2 linked regions of the Coturnix japonica genome follow. The protein of the gene in region 1 interacts with the protein of each later gene in a pairwise test. Links are inferred from orthologs where the notes say so. Each region holds a gene or a part of one and is shown on either strand. Other genes may lie near its edges.

Region 1 (4,275 bases):
GAATCCTCCAGGCTCACATTTAGTTGCCCTGCTTAGGAACCCCTTGCCCGTAGCCAGAAAACAAATGGCCATAGCAGAGCCAGAGAAGGATTGTGGGGCCCTGGAGCAGCACAAGTGGAGCCTGTGGGGCCGGGAGGGCTGAACAAGATTCCAGTTTCCAGGGCTGCTAATCTGTGATTACAAACCTGCTAAAACCTCAGTGAGGTCCCAGTCCCGGAGGGTTTCCTGCCCTATGGAAACAGGGCATGCAATGCAAGCCTTATCCAAACACATGGTGAAGCTCTTTCCAGCTCCTCTTAACGATATCAAACAATCATCAGAAACCCCTCCCACCTCCTCGCTCCCTTCCTGCACTCACATCCCAGCCAGCTCCCTGCTTACCCAACCCTTCTGGCTGGGAGCCATAAGCAGGTCCCTCTCCAGAAGCAGGGACAGATGATGTCCATCCTGCAGATTGCACAGGGCATATCAGATGGTGCCTCGGGGAGAACAGGCTGCGAGAGAAAAGGATCCTCTTCCATTGGAAGTGGAAAGAAAATGGCTTTTAAGTGAGATCTTTGCCCCTCCTTCCCAGCTGTAAAGCACCAGCACTGACCTCCCAAGCATCTGGGCTGAGCAATTCAAGTTTTCGAGGACGTGTTTAGCAACTGAGAATTCTCCTAATTGTTCGGAAAACAAACAGAGCCAAAATAGAAACAATCCAAGAGTTTTCAATAGGCATCAGCCCTCACTGCTCGCAGGGAGGTTGGGCAGTGCCAGCCCCAGTCTGGGCCATCCATCTGCAGCTGTGTGTGCAGCATGGAGCAGGAGGACCCCCAAACTCACAGTGCTGATTTGGGCTGGACTGGAAGCAGGAAGGTCCAAGCAAAAGGCATGCAAAAAAACCCAATTGGTTTAAACCTGCCATTCCCCACAGTTAAAACCAGTTCAAGAGCCCTTGGACCTCCAAGCAATACAGGAGGGGGAGGAACTGAATAATCCACCTTCTACTCCCCAAATCCATCTTGCAGAGTAACCTCACTCGAGGCTTATAAGCCAGGCTGCTGCCAGCACAGTTGCCACAACAACTCGACTTATTTTTCATCCCCTTTCAGCATGCCTTTCCCCAACTGCGTGCTGCAATGACAGCAAGCAAATCCTGCTGCACGTGAGTGCTATATCCCACTCTAGAATGTGCTTTTTGGGGCTGCTCTGCCCTCACACCGCCACATCACAGCCCAGAGCAGACATCTCCAAGACATGGGCATGGAGGGGATGGCTTGATGGTTGGGCTTAATGATCTTAGAGGTCTTTTCCAACCTCAATGATTCCATGATCTGGGCACACTCCCAGAGGCCAACCCAACACCAGTTAGGGCCATAACTTTGCTCTCAGCAGTTTTGCAGCCCCATTCTGCCTCCTGTGGGGTGCATGGGGTGGTTGACCCCAGGGGGAGAAGCACAGGAGCCCCCATTCTGCCCCCCTCCCTGCTCCTCCTGCATCCCTTCCAACAGTGCAGCCCCGTGCAGCCTCCCGGAGCGCAGCGGGCCGCAGGGGCTGGACTTCCTGCCAGACATAACATGAACCAGATGATGTGCTGCGAACAATGTCAGCACACCCACCCCCAGGAGAGAGAAGCAGGGGGAGAAGAGGAGGGGGAGGAAGAGCAAGCTGGAGAGGGTTTCCATGAGCTGACAAATCCCTGCTGCCAGGGCCAGAGGTGAAGCGATAGGGCTGGAGCCAGCACTGATCCCTTCCCATACATCCTGACCAGGAATTTCCACTGTGGGTTAATGGGGTAGGAATGGGATCGCCATGCTGGATATCTGCACAGAACTCAGTAGTTCTGCAGGGCGCACCCTATTCCCCCCCACCCCCCTCAGTAGCATCCAGAGCCACGAAGCACATCTGCAGCTGGCTCTGCACCCAGCCCAGCCCCTGACCCTGCCGATATTAACCCCTGTGCCTCCAGCCTGCAGGGCTCCGTGATGCTGGGAATGCCCGAACCTGCCTCCCAGCATCGCTCGTTCCAAATCAATGACATTCCTGGCACGCAGAAGATGATCACCCATTCCGAAGAAAAAAGCCAGAGCTCTGACTCACGTTATTTTGGGTGTCTCAGCTTCCACCTCCATGCAACAAACTGCTCGGGCTCAGCAGCCCGGGGTCGAACCCAAAGCAACACCAACATTTTGCATCCTCCAGCACAGCCTTCCTGATAGCCATAACCTTCCCAGAGGATACTTCTGTGGTTTGGACGAACCCAAAGTCCTTAAGGACAGATCAGAGCAGTTCCCTGCCTGCAGCAGCTGAGATATTAACAAGAATAAGACCCAAAAAAACCTTGTTTTGAGGTTTATCCCCTTCTCCCGTTGTTTAAAGGAAGGGCAGCCCTTTGCAGAGCCCGGTCTGGCATCCTGCCCACCGCTCAGAGCAAAAACACCAAGCAGGGCCACTCGCTTATTTAATAAACGAAACGAAACAACGCCGCGTTGTCCCACAGCTGTCCCCGTACTTAACTCCGGGAGCTGCACCGCGATCCTCCTGCACCGAGCTGAGCCCCGACTCATCACAGCAAGACCCCAGCCCCCCATATCCCCCATCCTCACCTCAAGCGGCGGCAGGTCGGGGTCGAGCTGGGTGAAGCTGTGTAGCACTACGGGGCTGCTTTCCCCGGCCACCTCCAGCCTCACGCCGCCCCACAAGCTCCGCGCCCGCCGGCAGCCCTCGAACATGTCGGGGGCGGGCGGGGCGGCATGGTGCCGGCGGCTCACCATGGGCACCGCCACCGCATCCCCGGGTCGGCCCGGGGGGACCGGGATCCCGGGATAACCGGGGACCCGCACCGCCACCGCCCCCGGGATGGGAGAGCGGCTGCCGAAGGGAACAGCGGCGGAGCGACCCGACGGCACGGAGGGGCCGGGCTGAGAAAGCGGAGCTTGGATTTCCTCCCCCGCAGCCTCCGCCCGCCCCGGGGGTTGGACCGGCCCGGCTCGGCCCCCGGAGGGAAGGCGAGGGCGGAGGGGGCAGAGCTTCAGCCGGGAGCTGCGGGGGAGTGCGGGATGGGGCAGAGCGGAGCGGAGAGGAAGGGGATGGAGGTGGGCGGCAATGGGAGAAGCCGTGCAGGCTGGGACGCTGGCCCTGGAGGAGGGTCTTGGTATCGCCTAGTGTTCACGTAGCTTCTAACATCAGATCTGGGGTTCAGAGAGCACCACCTCGAACCCACCGCTAAGTATTAACCCAGTGATGCAGCCAGGCTGCTTCCCATCCTACAAGCTCAGCCCCCACGGTGCCATCTGTGCTCAAAGCACCGCCCAGCCCCAGAACATTTATGGGGGGCTGCAGTCACGGACCCCTGGGCCCCTTCCTGTACCATGGGGGACAGTAGGGTACACAGCAGCGATGTGTGGCCCTGCAGGGATGCACGGAAAGGGGAACTGGGCTGGGGGGCAGCAGGGCTGCCGATCCCACTCTAAAGCGTCTCTGAGTTCTCAGGCTGATGCCGAAACATCACAATGTAACTGTTCTCAGAGGCACAGAGAAACAAACAGAGCCGTTCCACACTTTCTGCACGCACTGAGCTCAGCATCCTCTCACCCTTCCCTGCCCCTTCTCCTTCCCTGCCGATTAATGCATGGCAGCTGCTGCTGACACCACCAAAACCCAGACGCTTACGCCTCAGCTCCCAGCACAGCTGAAATAACAGCAGCCTCCCAGCCGTGCAGCCCCGCGGCTTTATTTCCAATGAGAGCATAAATACAGGGGCTGCACATCCAGCTCTGCCCAGGGCACCTCCTGCCCGGGCAAGAAAGGATTAACAAAGCTGAAATACTCTTCAACTTGAAAATGTATCAGGCAGGAGGATGAGGGAGGACAATGAGAGTTATTGTCCTGCTTATCTGGAGCTGCAGAGGGTCAACGGGACCTCCAGGGCTACAGTATGGGAAAGGAAATGAAGCCCTGCACAAGGGCTGCACGCAGCCCCACACCTTTGGGATGATCTATGGGGTGATGCCAATCCTGACCCTGCATGCCATGCAGCATTGCGTGATGCAGCAAGATGTGCTCTGCAGTGCAATGGGTCGCATACAGAGCTCGGTGCATGCAGAGGTCAGGCACCTCCAGAGCAATCAGTGCTGCCCTCAGGGCTGAAGGGTGGTGGGGAGAGAAGCCAGGATTCAGCCCTTGGGGAGGTGAAATTGTGGCCTCACAGCTGGGATGGATCAACACTGGGTGCACAGAACAGACAGCAGCACTGCTTGTCTGCAGATACAAACCCTTGCAGAACATCACAGC
Region 2 (3,647 bases), on another chromosome or scaffold:
CAAAGTGATTGGCGTACAGTTGGATGGTCTTGGAAGGTCATTGTATTGCTTCACAGAACGTAGAAGATTGTGTCTGTATTTACCTATTGCAGGCATCCTATGCGGTGTAGCTTCTTTTTTTCCCTATGTTAGAGCAATGGGACCGGTCACAATAGTGTTCGGTTCTGAGAAAACCAGTAATAATGCTGTTTACCAGGGTTACATAAAGCTACCGTAAGAAGGTGCTGCTCCCTGACATATGGCAATGTAATGTATTAACGCAGGAAGTGATTCACATGTTCATTTAGCAGTTACTGCCAGAAAAGATAGCGTCCAGGTATGTCCTTGGAAAGCATTTCAAACAGGGAAAGACAGAGGAATTGAGATCAGCTTGTGCAAGCTGCAATCCAACATGCTTCACCAAATCTCTACAAATATTAAGACAAAACTGCACAACAGTGGCAAGGATGAGTATTTTTCTTCTTTCTTTTCTTTCTTTCCTTTAAGTCAATACGGGCCGTTACAGGGCAATTCTGTAATAACCTCATTCAACCGGTAGCTACAGATCACGCTTACTGAAAAAACCTATTTTAGATACATCTTGATAGTGGAGCTACACCTAGTACGGCTCTACTGATAGAGCAGAGCTGGATTATTAAGGTATTTCTGCTACATTTATTTCCCCTAACAGGTTTTAGTTAAATTAACGGGAGAACTTTAGACCATCTCTAACTTTACATGCAGTGAGACAACCTTTAGTCACCTTAAGATTGCTGTTGTTGGCTCAGGCCAAACTGTCCAGCTTTGCTACCTTCTTCATATATAATCAAGAGCCTCTACAATGTGCAAATAACCGCCTCCAAAATGATTTTAGCCCAGGAAGCTGTAAAATGTTTTAGGACTTTAAAAATGTATATATGTTATTTCAAATGATACCGTGTACGTTTTCCACGTAATGGTTTAGTTATAGCTTAAGTTGGAGCGATGCTGCTATTCCCTGTTTCAGACTTGCACCACCTACCAGTCCGCTGTCCCATGCTATCCTCCTTTAGCGACTTCTGTTCTACTTTTGGTACATGGGAAGTCACGTTTTCAAATCCTGTTCTGCAGCTGATTGGGTACCACTGCGCCTTATGGGACGGAGGCAACTAAGTGTTGCAACCTTTGCAGGAAGACAACAGGAACTGGCAGCACTGGAAATGCTGGCTCTTACTATGGTGCAGAATAGCCAGACTACTTCAGTACCAGAAATGAAAGGTCCTGAAAAAATTCTGCATTAATTCTGATCAGAAGGGGGAAAAAAAAGAAGGAAAAAAAGAAGAATCACAAGAGACTTGATCACGGAGAAAGACAACACTGAAGTCTCAGTCTAGTTTCATGATGGTCTGGACACTGGAATGCCACTCACTAACCAGTTCATCTGTGCAACAAAACCAGCACTTCACAGACATGGCACAAACAACACTGAATCTGGAAACCATGTTCTATGCTGATGATTAGTGCAAATTCCACACCGTTTGCATGGCACGGTGGATTTCCAAATCACTTGCATGAAGCAGCTACGTTCATTGAGCTCATTCATTCACTGATTTGAGGTTACTAGAATTTAAAATTCTGCTCCTATTTTTACATGAAATGGGCGCATGGAAACATTTCAGGCCACCCTTGAGGGGGAATAAAACAAACAAACAAACACACAAAGCAAATGGTATTAATTTGATGTATAATTTAGGATTCAGCCAGACCTAATCCTCAGGATAACTTGTGGATCCATGGATGAAGTAACCTAAGAATTTGAATCAGCTTATCTATTAAGGCTTTCTAGTATATCCCGGAGACGCTAAGGGTGAAATCCTGTCCTACTGAACAAAGCTACCTGAACATTTACCACTGGGGGCTCAGGAGAGCTCAGATTTCACCTGGGCATCTTCAGACAGACAAAGTTAAGTGAAAGTTTTAAAGCAATGCATTAACAGCAGGAAATCGATCTAATCACAACTTTGACTTTTTCCATTGCCAGATGTGCATTAGTGTCTTTTTTTTTTTTTTTAATATAATTTTTCTTTTTAATAGAAAAAATAGAGTATTTAAGGAGTGACTGAGACAAATTGCAGTGAAACTTTTTTCTGTGTGTGAAAGTTTTCTCTTTACATTCAATAAAGTTGATCTGAAATGCTACAAGACTAGATGCCTAGGAGCGAAAACTACAGGAAGACTATAAAGGCTTCTGGTCTCTCTATATTGCAGTCAGTCTAAAGGAAAAGGAACTCTGAAAATAAAATATTCTTCGCTAACGGGTCTGTTTTCCCAACCAGATTTAGACAATAAAAGAATAGGAAAAATTCAGGGGGATGTCAGAACGTGTGGAGCATCGTTTCAGTCTTTTGTGTACACACGGAACAAAAGTTCACCATCAATAAGCAAAATAGGAAGTTAGCGACTGTGCATGCACCAAAGAGTCCTAAGACAGCTCTCGGGTTTTTGTGTGGGGTTTTTGTTTCTCCTTTGTTTTTCTTTCTCTTCACAGGCATTGCTAGTTCAAGAACCAACACTCAAAGAATACTGGCACTTTAAGAGGAATGAAGTTTCCACTGTCATTAAAAACAAGCGTTCAGGTAAAGCTAACAGGATCATGAAGCAGAAAGTAAAGTAATGCTAAAAACAAATGCTAATAATTTAGTGTAATGTACAAAAATTACTTCAGTACGTCTTAAGAATAAGGATACATTGTATTTACATAATTATACACTTTGTCTTCTTTTTCTTCTTTTTACCATCTTTGCTCATCTTCTCTTTGTGTTTTCTGATTTCTCGAACTAATGTATAGAAGGCATCATCAACACCCTAAAAAGACACACAGATGCACATGTTACAATGGCTTTAACAGACTCGGCTGCCTGCTTATATACAGCCTCATTTCACCTGAGCTGACCAGGTGAAGTGTTTTCAATCAGCAGCCTGCTCCGTATCAGGAGGCCGTGTCAGGAGAGCTGACACCACGCTCTCCTCACTGAGGCCTCTACAACACCCCAAGAGCAGGCTGTGGGTTGTAGGAGTTGCCAGGACACCAACACACCCTCTTGAGCATTCCTGGACTTTGGGAATGGGCATGTTGGAGAACACTGAGATGGTGGGGGGACTGCAGCTGTCTCCTGCTGCATGAGAAATACACATCTGATGGCATCGCTGTGCACAGCCCTGTAGGAGAGCAGCTCTAGGTGGCCATTGTGTGAGCAGTTCCTCCTGGCTGCAGGCTGAGGATCAGCCACCTGAATGAGCCACGTTTAGGTTATAAGGATGTATATAGTACTACCGCTGGATTTCAGAGTAAAGCTCTGAGGCAATTGTTAGCTTTGCTTACGCTTAAATCTAGACATAGCTTTAAAATACAAACAGGACAGCAGGAAATCGGTACCAAAGAGACAGATATGACTCATCTACTTATTCAGGTCCGTTGTCAGGCATGCTAACACAATAATCACACCACAGGTTTCTTTAAAACTCTACATAAACAAATCATTCAGATCAATCGTGTTGCAATGATCAGTTAACATGTGATAAATCATTCCATTCAACTTATGCAATGACACATGGAACACACTGTCTGTAGTCTATAATATATCATGTATAGTCCCTTAAAATCTCCGCAGCTCCAGCAGTTATGCTAC

The links. The genes of interacting proteins can lie anywhere in the genome.
Region 2: the proteins of RALGDS (region 1) and KRAS interact in a two-hybrid assay, tested with the Homo sapiens proteins (3 studies listed by BioGRID and IntAct). The link is inferred for Coturnix japonica from reciprocal best matches to the Homo sapiens genes RALGDS and KRAS.

The regions. Positions count from the first base shown.
Region 1 is NC_029532.1:5,350,415-5,354,689, forward strand, and holds the start of RALGDS (ral guanine nucleotide dissociation stimulator), read right to left. Parts: upstream 2,939-4,275; 5' UTR 2,757-2,938; coding exon 2,589-2,756; intron 1-2,588. UniProt on the Homo sapiens protein: Functions as a guanine nucleotide exchange factor (GEF) activating either RalA or RalB GTPases and plays an important role in intracellular transport. Interacts and acts as an effector molecule for R-Ras, H-Ras, K-Ras, and Rap.
Region 2 is NC_029516.1:61,748,569-61,752,215, forward strand, and holds part of KRAS (GTPase KRas), read right to left. Parts: intron 2,824-3,647; coding exon 2,713-2,823; 3' UTR 1-2,712. UniProt on the Homo sapiens protein: Ras proteins bind GDP/GTP and possess intrinsic GTPase activity. Plays an important role in the regulation of cell proliferation.